2 linked regions of the Oreochromis niloticus genome follow. The protein of the gene in region 1 purifies or fractionates together with the protein of each later gene. This does not show direct contact. Links are inferred from orthologs where the notes say so. Each region holds a gene or a part of one and is shown in the gene's direction. Other genes may lie near its edges.

Evidence for each region.
Region 2: the proteins of ankrd46b (region 1) and atrn purify together in Homo sapiens (co-immunoprecipitation; 3 studies listed by BioGRID and IntAct, with this or other methods). This does not show direct contact. The link is inferred for Oreochromis niloticus from reciprocal best matches to the Homo sapiens genes ANKRD46 and ATRN.

What each region holds. Positions count from the first base shown.
Region 1 is NC_031967.2:33,361,933-33,368,872, forward strand, and holds the start of ankrd46b (ankyrin repeat domain-containing protein 46), read left to right. Parts: upstream 1-3,930; 5' UTR 3,931-4,083; intron 4,084-6,940. Other genes in the region: col4a6 (collagen alpha-6(IV) chain), read left to right, coding at 1-30, 136-250, 396-656.
Region 2 is NC_031983.2:7,588,563-7,596,417, forward strand, and holds the start of atrn (attractin), read left to right. Parts: upstream 1-4,845; 5' UTR 4,846-5,100; coding exon 5,101-5,339; intron 5,340-7,855. UniProt on the Homo sapiens protein: Involved in the initial immune cell clustering during inflammatory response and may regulate chemotactic activity of chemokines. May play a role in melanocortin signaling pathways that regulate energy homeostasis and hair color.

The sequences.
Region 1 (6,940 bases):
AAAGGAGGAGATAAGACCTTACATCAGCAGGTATTGTACACTGTGTTACTTTAGTCAAGCTGCCTATCATTTGTATAGTTGTATACATGTGCATACAACTAATGAAGCTTTCATCTGATTATATGAATAACACAGGTGTTCAGTATGTGAGGCTCCATCTCAGGCAGTGGCAGTCCACAGTCAGGATTTGACAATCCCCAGCTGTCCTCCCGGCTGGAGGAGTCTCTGGATAGGATACTCCTTCCTAATGGTACGTAGTTAATGGCAGCTTCTACCAAACAGATTTAGACCAGCAATTAGATGAAGAGATTATTTCTCCCCATGGTTCTATATACTGCCAAATTGTCTTCAGAGATGTCATATTTTAAAAAAATGTCCTTTCATTTCTGACACAGCACACAGCAGCTGGCGCTGAGGGCGGCGGTCAGTCCTTGGTGTCTCCCGGCTCCTGTCTGGAGGACTTCCGGGCGACTCCGTTCATCGAGTGCAACGGCGCTAGGGGCACCTGCCACTACTTTGCCAATAAATACAGCTTCTGGCTGACAACCGTGGATCCCAATAATGAGTTTACCTTCTCGCCAGACAAGGAGACGCTGAAGGGAGGCCAGGAGCGCTTCAGAGTCAGCCGCTGCCAAGTGTGCAGCAAGATCTTGTAGTAGGCAAAGGTGAAAGATGGAGGAGTGAGGCGGGGAAACATCAGGAGGGGATTCACTAACATTTCAAGAATTTATGATGGAGGATGAGATGGATTTAAAAAAGAACACGTGACTGACTGAATGGACCTTTCTCCTGTGCTGTGATGGTTTCAGAATCGAGTCGAGCAACATCGACCCCATTTTGAGAGTTTTTTTAATCCCCTGTAGGAATGAATGGCTTATAAAATAAAAGAAGAAGAAGCTGGAGAGAGGAGGAGGAAAGAGAAGAGTTCCAGTGTGAGCGATCTTCTCGAGATTATCACTGATAATGGTGCTATTGTTTATGTATGTGTTTATTACGTGTCAGCTTTCTTGTGACAGATGTCAGCGAGAATCATTCTGGGCTACCTCGGAGAGCGCCCCCGCCCCCATTTAGCAAACCAGTGCCCCGCACACACACATTAAGCACCCAATTTAAACGTTATCAGCTCAGGAAGTTGGCCGTTATTGGTTCTTATCGCTCCCATAGATACTGACAGCAGGCAGGAAGTCTCTTACACCAGCTCTGTTAATGCTGACTAGTGGAAAGCCATGGAGACGGGCTGATTTTCCGTGAACTCATTATTGCTGTTCAGTTAGTTTTAAGGCATAGACAAGCATAAAGTATTTGTAATCTATGAGAAAGCTCAATTTTGAGGGCTACCTGAGATTTTACTACAATGTTATTCATATCTACATAAGCTCAAACTGGGTAAAGCCCTTTCTGCACAACTACTGGGTACAGAGAGACGTCTGACTGTCATATCTATGGGACAGACAAGCCTACAAATGCTTTTCAGTGGGCTGATCACGTTTGAACTGCAGAGCTTGATGTGAGTTGAGAGTAAAATTACAGATTGCTGGTTGATTTTAAGGTTTTAAAGCGAGTTTGCATCATCTTATTGGGCTGATCTGAGCAAAGCAGATGTAAAGCTTCCTTGAAATCCCATCTTTGGGAAGATGACACCTGTTTTCTTCTTGAACTTTTTATTCTACGGCAGTTTAGCACCACGAAGGTGCCCACTGTAAACACACTGGGGATTTTTTCATGTGTTGCATCAGTACCTGCAGTATATTTGATGTTGGTCACTTCGTTATTGGTTTGAAAATCGACTTGCCAAGACATGTGACTTGCTTGAGGTAAAAATGGTGTTGAAGCTATACTTTGTTTTTAAGTTTTTGTGATATTTGGATTATTTTTCGGTGCCTTACAATCGGACGCGTGAATCAAAGGAGTTTTAGCTTCATCCAATGATTAAAAAAACTGTGGAAAACTATAACTCATTAGCAAATTATTTGTTGTATAAACAAAAAAAGACCAGAAGTATTTTGTTTATTGGACTCCAACAGAAACTATGATAAACAAGCAAGTTTCATTTCTTTAAGTGCTGGTTTTCATCTAGAAGGTGAAAAGCATCATCTGTTTTGGGGAACAGAAGGAACTTAGAAACAATCCAAAGTATTCCTAAACATGTCAAAGTCCCAGCGTAAGCTTCACGTAAGCCTGTGTACATTTCACAGTGGGACTCTCAGGTTGCTGCTACGTTACCGTTAGTATGACTTTAAAGGTCAAGTCAGATTTTTTTGTGCAACAGCTGAAATGACAATAGAGAGCTGTTGTTATTGCACTGATGTGGACACAGATGGTTCAGAACATCAGAGGGGCATTTAAATCTCCACCTCCACTCTCACAGGTTTTCTCTATGCTGCGACCAAACAAGTATTTCTTTTGATTACATCACACTTTTTAAGGCTGCCATTCGCTTACATTTTGCAAAAAGAAACAAAACACACGCTCTCTGATAGATGAGTTATTGCTGTACATAGTGCTTACTGTATTTTTCAGCAAATCATGTTAGCGCAAAGGTGTATGATGTTGTTACTCAGTTATTTTCTTTTCTTTTGTTTTGTGTCCTCGGACAGGTAAGAAGATGGCAAAAATTCTGTGCCTTTAAATATAGATTTTGCAAAAACAAATACAGAAACACACAAAAAATGAGAAAATGTATCATGTTTTTGCATTAAATTTGGTCTTCCTCTGAGTCAAACAGGTTCATCTGTGCTTGGACAGAGGAAGCGACAGCATGACTTGTAACCACTACGACCTCTAGCACGTCTCTCTCTGCTGGTAGCCCTGACTTTAACACTCTGCCACATAGTACATTTTTGTCTGTATTGCTTTTTTGTAATCTAGATTTGTAATTACTGAGTCATGACACTATCCCCTGGTTTTATTTACTGAGATGTGAGGGAATGGGAAGCTAATGATGTGTACATTAAATTTTATGGAAAGGAAAACATGCCTGTGTTTTTATATGGGAGATATATTCACCGCTGATAATTTAGGATGTTAACAGCACATTTTATTGCCAGTTTGGACTTCACCACATGTTCAGAGCCAAATGAAGAAACACGCTTTAAGAGCCCTGAGTGACAGAAAAGAAATGCAGTTTTCCTCAAAGAGGATCCATAACAAATCAAAAGTGGCAACGCAACATGTCTGTTCCTATAACGTGTTCCTATTCTGTGCTCACACACTTTGAAATAAAGTCTCAAAACTACTTAACAAATGCATGTTTTGTTTGTTTGTTTTTAGCTCAACATGAGGAACTGAAGTGAATTTATATATAAAATCTGTATTTTTTTTTAGGTGGCTGTTGTGTTTGTGACTAGTTGTAATGTTTGGAGTCAGACTTCTGGGTCGCAAAACCAAATGTTGCTGCCAGTGGTACTGGTTCATTTCACAAAGTGGATGTAATAGAGCAATAGAAGATACAGTAAGGCGGTTGAAACATGAGCACATTTGGGTGTTCTGATAGGACAATGACTCCAAACACATATCAAAACTGTTTTTAGAATAGATAAAGCAGGCTGACCTTTACAGAAGGGATAGGCCTTCCCAATGCCTCCATGGTCCAACTCAGAAAACCAACAAGCTTTAATTAACTCTGCCATGCTGCCAAGAACAGTGGGAAATCCAGCTGGAAGTATACGGTTGTTTATGGCTACCAAAAGCATCTTACCAAAGGACATTAACCCAAAGCTTAGTGGAGGAATATACTTTTGACCATGTGTGGACTAGAGAAAATCTTGTGCATCTGAATTCCTTTTGTTGCAGTGGAGATAGATCACAAATTCTGTTTCTGCCTCTTAGTTTTTATTCACGTTAATAATTTTTATATGTTTCTATTTAAAAATGGAATAATACAACTCAGATAGATAGATAGATAGACAGATAGATAGATAGTACCTTAGCTCCAGCCCAGTAGGTGGCGGTAATTCACCTTATCGACAGAAGAAGAGGAAGAAGAAGAGGAACTCTTTTTAGCATAACAACAACATTTTTAGCAGCATTAGCTCGCAAAAAAGCGAGGAGACTTTTTTCTTCTTATTTGGGTCCTATTAACAGGTAGGTGTATTAACAGAGGGCCGTCAGAGAGTGTGAATGTGCAGTCTGTTACCCTGTGTGCTTGTACGGTCGGCGAATCGCATATTTGTGAGCCGTTTCAGCTATGTGCAGAACGTTAGCTCTCAGGCTAACGCTAGCTCCTAACGTTTTATTTTGTGGTTGTGTGCAAAAGTCACTGCATGCAAAGAGTTGTCGAACAGGATGAAGATTAAGGTGTGATGATGAGGATGCAGTGCTGTTGGATTTTTCCTCTTTGGTGAAATAGTTAGTCGACAGCCTGCTACAGTTTTGATCTTAGCTTTTTTTTTTCTCCAGAAAACAATGACTCTACACATTCATGAAAGCTGATTTCTCGAGAGTTTTTTTGTATTCTGCTCGTTGCATCCTGTTAATGACAACATATACTCGGATACAGGCGTCATTGATACTTGTGGTAACGAGCGGTGTGCACGGATGGGTCCAAATACTCAGAAGATTAGACATCGAGATGTGTGTCGGGTTTCTTTACTAAAACCCATATTGAAATCCACAATTGGTTTGGCATTTCTTGAACCCCAGAAGCCTAGAAATACATGCGAGATGTACCAAGGTTACATCAGTTGTTGTTTTTTTGTTTTTTTTTTTAAGATCTGAGGAGGTTCATTATATACAGACTTGTCTCGTTATTAAGGGTTCAACCTTCAAATGGATGGTGACCTCCACAGTCAACAGTGGGATCTGTTGACTGTGTTGACCCATACCCACGTTCTACAAGCATCTTTGGGATGTGGTGGAGCGACAGATTCTCATTATGAATGTGCAGCCGACAAATCTGGACTGACACTCAAAGCCATTATACAACATGCCTCATTCATACAAGCACTTGCTCTATCCTTTGAAATGCTTTCTATCTAACATTCGCACACATTCATACTCAAATAATAATAATGGATTGCATTTATATAGTGCTTTTCGAGACCCTCAAAGCGCTTTAGAATTCCACTATTCATTCACACACACTGGTGGAGTCAAGCTACAGTTGTACCCACAGCTGCCCTGGGGCAGGCTGACAGAAGCGAGGCTTCCATATCGCGCCATCGGCCCCTCTGGCCAACACCAGTAGGCGGTAGGGTAAAGTGTCTTGCCCAAGGACACAACGACCAGGACAGAGAGAGCTGGGGGATCGAACCGGTAACCTTCCGGTTACAGATGAGCTTCCCAACCCCCTGAACCACGGTTGCCCCAAATGGATGCATTGGAGAACAGCTTGGTATCTTGCCCAAGGATACACGCAGACTGGCCAACCTTCCAGTCAGTAGATGATCTAGTCTACCGCCTGAGCAACAGCCACCCCATACAGTGTGATGGGGTTACGGGTGCTGATCATGCAAATGTGGACCAGAATGGTTCCAGCAGCTTGTTAAATCTGTGCCACGAAGAAGAAAATATTTTTTTGTGTGTGTTTTTCTATTCTTTAAGTGACTGTTGTGATTGAGGTCGAGCCCGTTGTCCAAACAATTGCGTTTTGACCTGGGCTAAAAGTCGATGTATGAATCAACTGTTATTACTGTTGACAGAGGCCAAGTGGAGATAATCTTGCACAAGAGCACAAAGGAATTTGTGCTTTGATGGCAGAGTGATAAAGTCACAGCTGTGCAGTCACAGCACACATCAGGTATAAATAAACAGTGCTGAACAGAGTGCAATCAGTGACTACAGGTGTGTGAGTGAGAGGTTGAAATAGTGTGTGTGAGGTCACTATACAGGCAGAGTAGAGCCAGTGTGACTCATTCAGGAGGTTGGATTTAAAAAAAAGAAAAGCGAACACCCACAGTTGTGTGGACCATCATTTGATCTGTGAATACCTGGTTAAAGCATGTGCTCGTCTGTAGCTGTAATGCTTAAAAATATAAGAAAGATCAATTAAAAAGTTGGAACTGAACAGCAACAAGATCCACCTTTTGATTTCTCACAGATTTTTACACTGGCTGCTATCAGAGCTACTTTAACTCTACTTAACATAGCAAGGTGTTAAAAATGTTCAGCTGGTGAGCCGGTGTGAGTTGTAGCCTCAGGAGTTGCATCCAATGTGGTCTTCTGCTGCTGTAGCCCATCTGCTTCAAAGGTTGATGCTCTTTTGTCTGCCTGTCCAGAATTAGTCAACTCTGCTCATTTAAAAAGAAAAAAAGAAGCTAGTCCACTCCATGTTTTGGGAATAACTTGTTTATTTCAGCCTAGTTCATTGGACGGAAAATACTCTACTTCGGGTTTTCAATTAATCCATGAAGGGTAAACAAACAAAGAAGTCAGAAGTTTGACAACAGCAACAAAGCAAAGCCAAGTCAACTAGATCATCTAGGTAGTGTGCTTATGGTGCTGGAGCAGTGTTGATCGATTCATGGTCATACCTGCGACTTGACTGTGTGCTGATCGATCTGACACAAGATTCACTACACGTGGAATTACTATGACCCGAGGTCCCAAAATCGCCTAAGGTTGGCAGAAATACAGATCTAAAGGACAACTTCATGCTGCTACTTTTTCCAGCCCCCCAGAAAACACACAGTGCCTGGTAGACCCCATGAGAAAGGCTTTAATCGGCACTCGTACGGCACCAAATCAGAATGATCTTACTGGCTGACTGCCTGTGGGGCCTGGAGGTCCGTACAAATGAAAAAACACAGAATTTATTTACAAAAAACACATTTAAAATAACAAATCTGGCACTCGCAGCAAGGTGTACCTAATAAAGTGGCCAGTTAGTGTAAATAAAGCTGTTACACACAGACTCTGAGTTGAAAGTTAAATAAGTGCCCCATAAATTCTGCTAGTGTTATACTCCTTGACTTCAATATATCTTAATTTATTTGAATAATTT
Region 2 (7,855 bases), on another chromosome or scaffold:
CCTGTGGCTCTTGTCCTTTTGCATGTACCTGTTAGGAAAATGAAGGGATGAATGTGAGTTTATCTTAAAGCCAGTGATTGGACAAAGTTTTTTTTTGTGTGTGTAAATTCTACACAATGACTCTGAGGTGCTCAATCATTTTCTAACACCTCCTCTTTGCTCTCTGTACAGAACTGAAGAGAAAACCCTGTTTATATGCTTTTCTTTGTAATTCTGAAGACCAATCTTGTACATATTGTTGCTTGTAAATGGCTTTTTCATTAAGCAACTGTAAGATAGTGTGATATACTGTGAGAGAGGAAACAAAGAGGAGACGATCTCTGCCATTAACGGATAGCTGAATGTTACTGCGTGACCTCCAGAGACGAGATGATGGTGGTTGCCTCTTTGAAATTATTCTCAGTGTTTGTTTTCACACGTTAGGGGACCCAAGTGGAAGGGGTTTGCCGTGCTTTGAGCACCGGAGGAGAATCTGCATGAACCAGAGTGCCATTTGAAAGTCAGCTAAGTGTACTTTTCTTCGCCGGATAACTCGCCTCACGTTTTTGGAATTGTGCTACTGTGCTCCGACCCCATCCAGCTGGTGTTCCCAGTGAAGCACAAAAACACAAATACTGAGGTCTGCAGCCCTCCTGTGATGCAGGAAAATAGCATTTAGCTAATAAGTCGATACTGTCGATACCCCTCTACACTGTGTACTGGGGGACCTGGACCTGATGTTGGTTATGTGATCCACATTTTTTTTATGTGCATTAGATGTGCTGAATCACATGACCCATTTGTAACTACACACACTCACTAATTGTAACATGCTTTCAATGATTGTACTTTTTTAAGGCTCTTGTCTTTTCCTTTTTTTTAAAGCACAGTTTTTTGATTATCTTCAGGGTTTTTGATTACTGTAAAATCCTGACTGTTAACAGGAAGTCATAGTGATGTTTGCTTATCCATCCACTCAGCTCACTGAAGATGAGCCATTCATGTCCAAACCCAATTCTCTCTACGATGATTAAAACAAACCGTAAACCCACCATGACAGAGGTGGAAATTGCTTTAAGGACTGTATAAAGAAGGTGTTCTTTCTTCACACCTTTTGTAGACTAAATGTTTCATATCTGATTCAGACATTTGATTCAGGGCAAATTCTTCTCCCGGAGAAAACGTTTCGTCCCCTGTTTTAATTTCAGAGTGAACTGTGAATATTCATGAACAAGGACGGGGACTGTAATCACCTACAGCAGGAGATGGCTTGTCAACCTTATACCATTAATACTGAAAACAGCATTATAGCGTATTGTCAGAGGTTCCACGCATTTCCCTCTTTTCTGTCAATCCAAGAAAATGTGATTACACTGTAGGTCTTCTCTCACGCTTTGTTAAATCGTGTTTCTCCTCCTTCCACTCCAGCCGTCCGGATGGTTCCGTTGAAAAGTCAGACCCTTCTCCTCGGCGTCTGATCTCTCCTCCTCGACATGTAGTTGCGTGTTCTTGTGCACAACTCCCATGTTAAATTGTAAATATGTTCATTTGCTTTATTTATGTTTTTGATGCCGTGATCAATCCTTTTGGGGTTGGTGTTATTACGAATGCGCTTCACGCGATGGAGTGCGTTGGAATATGATGACTTCTTAAAAGTCTAAATTTAATAAACTGTTCTATACCGTTTGTAAAGTTTTGTGTCCTTCGTCTGCAGTCTCTGGGTCAGTGTGTTGTGGGGTTTTTTTTGTGTGTGTGTGTGTGTGTGTGTTTTGTTTTTTGTTTTTTGTTTGTTTTTGTTTTTTTAAAAATAACGATCACCTGTTCATTCGTCGGGATGACTGCTAAGAAATTCATACAAAAACAGGAATATTTCTTGAGGCAGCAGGCCTGTAAATCATTTTGCTGTCTCTTACTCGACATTTTCTCACATGTATATGATGCACTGGAATAGAAGAGATTACAAAGTGACAGAGCCCACCTAATGATGTGTTTTCATACATTTTACAAAGTGACTCAAAACTGCAAAATAAGAGTGATGACAGTATTATATCAAAGTGACGCCAGCAAGGCTGTAAATCTAATAAAGATGAATTCAATATAGCCTTAAAAGCAGAGACAGACAAAACTGTATGACACCTGAGATATTTTCATGATGCTCCTCCACACCTTATTTGTTATGCTTTACAAACAGCTAACAGCTGGAATCTCCCGTTTCAGTGCAGCTGGCCAACAAGACAATTACTGCTAAAGAGATGGTGAAAGTAGACAGTATATCCTCTGTTTCTTAGTGTAAAACTCATTGTTACAGACGGGTAGCACAAAAGTGATCCCCTCAGTTAATGATTCTCTCACTAGTTAGCTAAAATAAACTAATGTAAGTCTATGAGCCGCAACCAACGAACCATCGCAGTGACGTAACGTTCTCTATGGCATAAGGTGGCGCTACACATGTTCTCAAAATTTAAACATCACCAAGATGTGTGGCCTCTGGTCTTCAGTAAACTTGGGGGTTGCGGATGGCCTCCTGGATCCAGCTCAGTCTGCCTCTGACTCCTGGAGGGCGTTATTGTGGCTTCCCAACCTCATTATCAAGTACATTCATGATAAAAACATAGGCACACACACCAAAAGGAATTTGTCAAAGTCAAAGTGTCCAGTTCCATTCAGTGCAAAAGAACAACAATAAATACATGAAGAGTAAGAATAAATATACGCTTTGAGACTGAGGTAAGGGGAGTACATAAACCCGATAAAACTGGTAGTTTAACAGTCTAAAAATGTACAATTTACAATTGAGATATAAAGTGACCTTGAGTGGTTTTAAATATATGTGGATATATGTATCAGTGCTTTTTCATATTTATGTGTTCCAGGTGCTTCATCTTTGTTTTTTCTTAGAGGTCCAGCAGTTGGGAAACATTGTGCATTTCTATTTGTACTCTATCCTTTGGTTATATTTCCCCCTATTTTCTCCCCCCCATCTTTTTTCTCTTCTGCCTGTCCTTCCTTAGACATCGTCATAGTATACCACATAACGTAATAACTGAAATAACACAAATAGAAATGAATGAATAAACAGATAAAAGAAATATATGAACAAGAGGAGCCTATAGAGCTTTATACAGCTGATCTTGGCATGAGCTTGATGTTTGGCACAACAGTGCATTCAGATCATAAATCTTAAATCTTAATTGCAAAAGCTGCTAGATAGGACAGGATTAAAAACACAAACAAAATTTACCAGGTCATTCCATATAATACAGTGTTAGAAACTAGTTTTGATACAGGACGAACACCTTGAAGATAACCCTTATATCAAATTGTGTATAAAGGGAAGGCCCTTTTTTTGGCGTAACTTGATGTAATCAGCCACCTACAGATAAGGATAACAATGTGCTTTAACTTTGTAATCCTCAACGCTTGTAAAATCAAGTTAAAACTGAAGGTTATCTCCCAATAAAAACTTCAGCAAGGCTTTTTAGCTGTCACTGAGAAAGTATGGTGCCAAAAACAAATCAGGTTAGTCTCAGAAAGAGAATTGTTGATGCTCAGAAAGCAGGGGATGGACATACAAAGTTATCACAAGGTTTCCAAGTGTAAAGAACCGGAGGGAGAAGTATCAACAAGAAACTCAAAGAGAGCCACACATTACAGAACAAGCCTGGCAGAGGCAGGGAGAAGAAAATTTCAAAGACTCTGGAAACTAGTCAGAAAAAAATGTCAAATAACCCCATAACATCTGCTAAGACATGAGTGAATGATGGGAACTGTAGTCTCAAAGAACACAATCGCTAAAACTCTGCACAGGAATGGACTATGAGGTTATAGACAGAAGAACATGAAGGACAGCCAGGAGAAAGATTATGAGAGATGAAAAGTATACAGCTGTTTGGACACGGAAAATGAATGGAGAGGCTTATCGCTCTAAGAAGACAGTCTTCACAGTGAAGCACGGTGGTGGAAGTATTATGGTGTGTCCAGATCATAAAGCAGAGCTTGCAGGAGGCATTCGCCCCATCTGGTCTTTAAATTTCTTTTGGACTTCTTGTTCTTTAGATTATAAATCCAAGTGAAACTTTTGCATTTTGTTTGGGACCATTTATCAGATATACAGAGGCTCACTTGTGGTTTAGGATTCTGCCTTCAGTGTCTTGCATCAGCGTCCTCTCTCTGCCACAGCATGTAAGATGATTTGTGAGATTCTACATCTCGGATTAGAATTCAAGGTTAACAGTTCTCACGAGTCTTAATTTCACAAGTTATAACTAAAAACGTTGTCCTGTTGTGTGTGCAAAGCATCATGGAAAGTGTAGTTATAGTACTATAACAGTCATAGTGCTATACATTTTTCCTCGTATTCAATGACGCATGACTATAAAGTTTTAAGCTATTGCCAAATAGGGTATTTAGCTTAACTTAAGCTTAGAATATGTCCATAAAATCATAAAATTTAAGAAGCAATATTGTGAAGGCTTATCTGGTACACAATTATCTGATTTAAAAATAAATAAATGAATAAATAAATAAACCCAGGAGATGAATTTAATGTCAACAGCTGCTGTTCTCAGGAGTATAAGCTTTTAAATCGTAAATACTGAGATTTTAAGTGAAATATGAGCTGTAGTGGGAGCGAAACATTATAAGGAAAGGTCATATTTCTTATAATATTATTATTTTGTATTAAAAATATTAAAATAAACATCGAGCTACGCTTAGAACACGAGCAGCAAACGGACGACGGTGTTTATTTTAGAGAAAAATAATAATAAGAGAAAGCCGCTAAAGAGCTGTTTGGGAAAACGAGAGGACTTTTCCTGTCTTCCAACATAAAAGTTTAAAGCCCTGCGCGCTCTGCCTCCTTCCGTTGCGCATTTCCGTTGTCGTGACGTCACTTCTGGATGTAAATATGCGGCTTGGTGCGGCGCTGGGAAACACAACCACTGGAAAGATGTAAACCAAGTAACCGGCGAAAACCAGGTTCAGCGAAGACACTAAACCTTCCCTCCAGGGAAACCGTACCTCTGGTCCAATAAACGGAACTACATCAACAGGTAGCTCGTCGGCTCGCTATCTCCGAAGTCAGCGGAGCGCCTGCATCTAGCAGCCATCTTTTGTGAGAGAATGTACGGGGCGACGCGGCGGGCCTGCTCGGGCTCTGGTCGGGACCGGAGCTTGCTGATGCTGACCACCGCGCTCCTTCTCTCGGTTATCGGGCTGCTGTCCGGCTTGCCTGGCTTCACCGAGGCCAAGGAGTGCGATAAGCCGTGTATGAACGGCCAGTGTAACACCGCCACTGGCGAATGTGTATGTTTTCCCGGCTGGGTTGGGGACCAATGCCAGCACTGCGGAGGGCGATTCAGGTATAGTAAAACACACTGGCAGATTATAGCCTACTGTTAGCAGTGACATAAGCTGAATGTGGAGTCTACGTCTGCCTTGTTTTGCGCCAAATGTTTGCTAATTCAGACCTGACAGTCCTTGTCTGGAGATGGCGAGCAGCCCACACTCGAGGCGTTCAAGTACCGGTCTGCTACTGCCTCTGCCCCAGCTACAAGCGAAGCGGTTCCCCCCAAAGGCCACAGTCCTCCTGGTTTAAATGCAGCATGTGTTTGCTGAATGGTTCAAGTGTGTGGGTTGGACGGCTATGCCTGTGTGAATGTGGTATTTAACATTTGACCAACATTGAGCTTCAGAGCTTTTTAATCCGAATTAGTGTCACATCTTGCCACTCATTCACGCAGATCGGGAGTATTCTGGCCAAACCAAAGTCACATCATCAGCCTGTTTTCGTACACACCATTTCTGGGCTAAGATCACCTACCAGAAAGGACAGAACCATGAGGAGTAGCCGGGCTGCATGTAGAAAATCTGACAGCACAGACAAACGTGTCATCTATTTTTATGTATTATCTGCCCACCAAAACCATTTTGACTTGTAACCACAGTGCACTCTCTGCTAGCCTCTATTTTTTTTCCAATCTAACAGAGTAATTTATCTCTAACTGAACTAGTCTGCTGTTCTGTTGGTAGTGTCCCACGTTTTCAGGCCAGTAGGTGAGACGCTTTGCATTCTTCAGCTTCACGGGACTCTTTGAAAAGCTGCCTGCATGGTGTTTGGCCCACTGAAACGTTCAGATAACTGATATTGTGCGCTGATGCCAGGACAGCAGCAGCTCAGGGTCAAAGTATAGAGGGTGGGTGCACACTGAAAGCACTTTGTGTTTTTACAGCTGAGCTGCCCAGGTTAGTGCTGTTGGCGAAACTCATGCAAACATCTGAGAGGTGGGAGGAAGGTACCACTTGACAAACCCATTAACGCATCATCTCTCGCTCGCCCCCCACTCCCCCCCTCATATCTGCCCACATCCGTGTTGGCTTTCTTTAACTCTGATTTAAACCATGAGTGCCACTAGTTTGTGTGCGAGTGAGTGAATGCCAAAGCTGTAAATTTGCGAAAGTTGTAAACTGGTAATTATTACCGCTTTGCCCGTCCTCCGTTCCCATTTTACTGTCACTTTGCATTACTGGAGTTTGTCCTCTGATCTGGAAATTATCCTGCAGCATGAGCTTGATGACAGCTTCACTCGGAATCAGTCACGACTATATTATTGATCACTTTCCATAGGATCACGCCCTTCTGCTCATCCTTCAACTATGACATTTAGCAAGCACAGAATAAGAAAAACAAATTATTATCCCCAAATTATTTTTTCCTTGGCAGAGCTCAAATGTGACCTCTTGAACTAATTTTACACTTCTGCTTTCTTTATTTTCGCTGTTAAGCAAGGCGATCATGTTCTGATGTGCTGGCGTGTCTGTGCAGCTAAGAACGTGTGAGCCGGGTCCACCCTGTAGGCAGCTGATTTTCTTCTCTTTTTTCGTAAAGGGAGTCCAGAGCATTTTCTACTCACTTTTATTTAATACTGTGTCATGCTGCCTCTGCTTGTGATCAGTCTTGTCAGGTCATAAAGCAGAGCCAGCGGGAGGCCTGCTGTGTTATGCGTGCTCAGAAGTCGGTCATGATGAAGGGAAGGGAAACTGGAACAATTTCCACATTAGTGCAGCCGATTGGTGAGCACATCTGAGCAGGTGAAATGGAGGCTGAATGGCTGCTGAGCTTCTAATGTTTCAGTACACTGGGCTTAAGTGGTCTCTGGGTGAAATGGCTCATCTTGGCTGTGAATAAAAACTGTGATTCTGTTGCACTTGAGTATCAGCCTCGACAGTCTATCAGTGTGGGAAATCATCGCTGACCACCAGCTGCATTCTGGGTACCCGGCTCTAAGAACGCTGGGTTTGAATGGAGTTAAACTCTGTTTATTAATATTAATGATTTTTTTTCTCATTAGTTAGTAATGTGTAATAGAGAAGAGGCTAAAGTCAATGGAATTTGCTTATTTTGTCCTAAACAGCTGACAAACCCAATGGTTGGCTTTTATGTAGATCTTTATTTGTACACCGCGCTGTTTTAATGTAGGGTGGTGGTTGACTGGCATGCATTAAAAGTATAAGACATACTCTTTCAGTCGCCCTTGATCAAAATACCAAAGCTTTGGCTTCTTTTTCAGGACTGCTTTAATACAACCCAAGGGGTCAACTGCTAGGATGAACCTCCCTATGGGGCTCATTAAAGTTAATCTGTTTTTTTCTAAGGCTGCTACGTTTGTCTTTTCCAGCTTCTTTTAAAAGCTTCATCCTGGCATGTAAGTGACCATAGCTAAAACTGTGCTGATAAGTGGAAAAAAACAGAGATCTCTCTTTTCTTCACAGTGCTGCCAGACTGGTTGTGGTGCTGCTTGTCTGACCGTGAACTTCGCTAATAGCAGAACAGGGCACTCTTTTACAGTGTAATGTTCAGCGGTCAGCACTTCTGTGT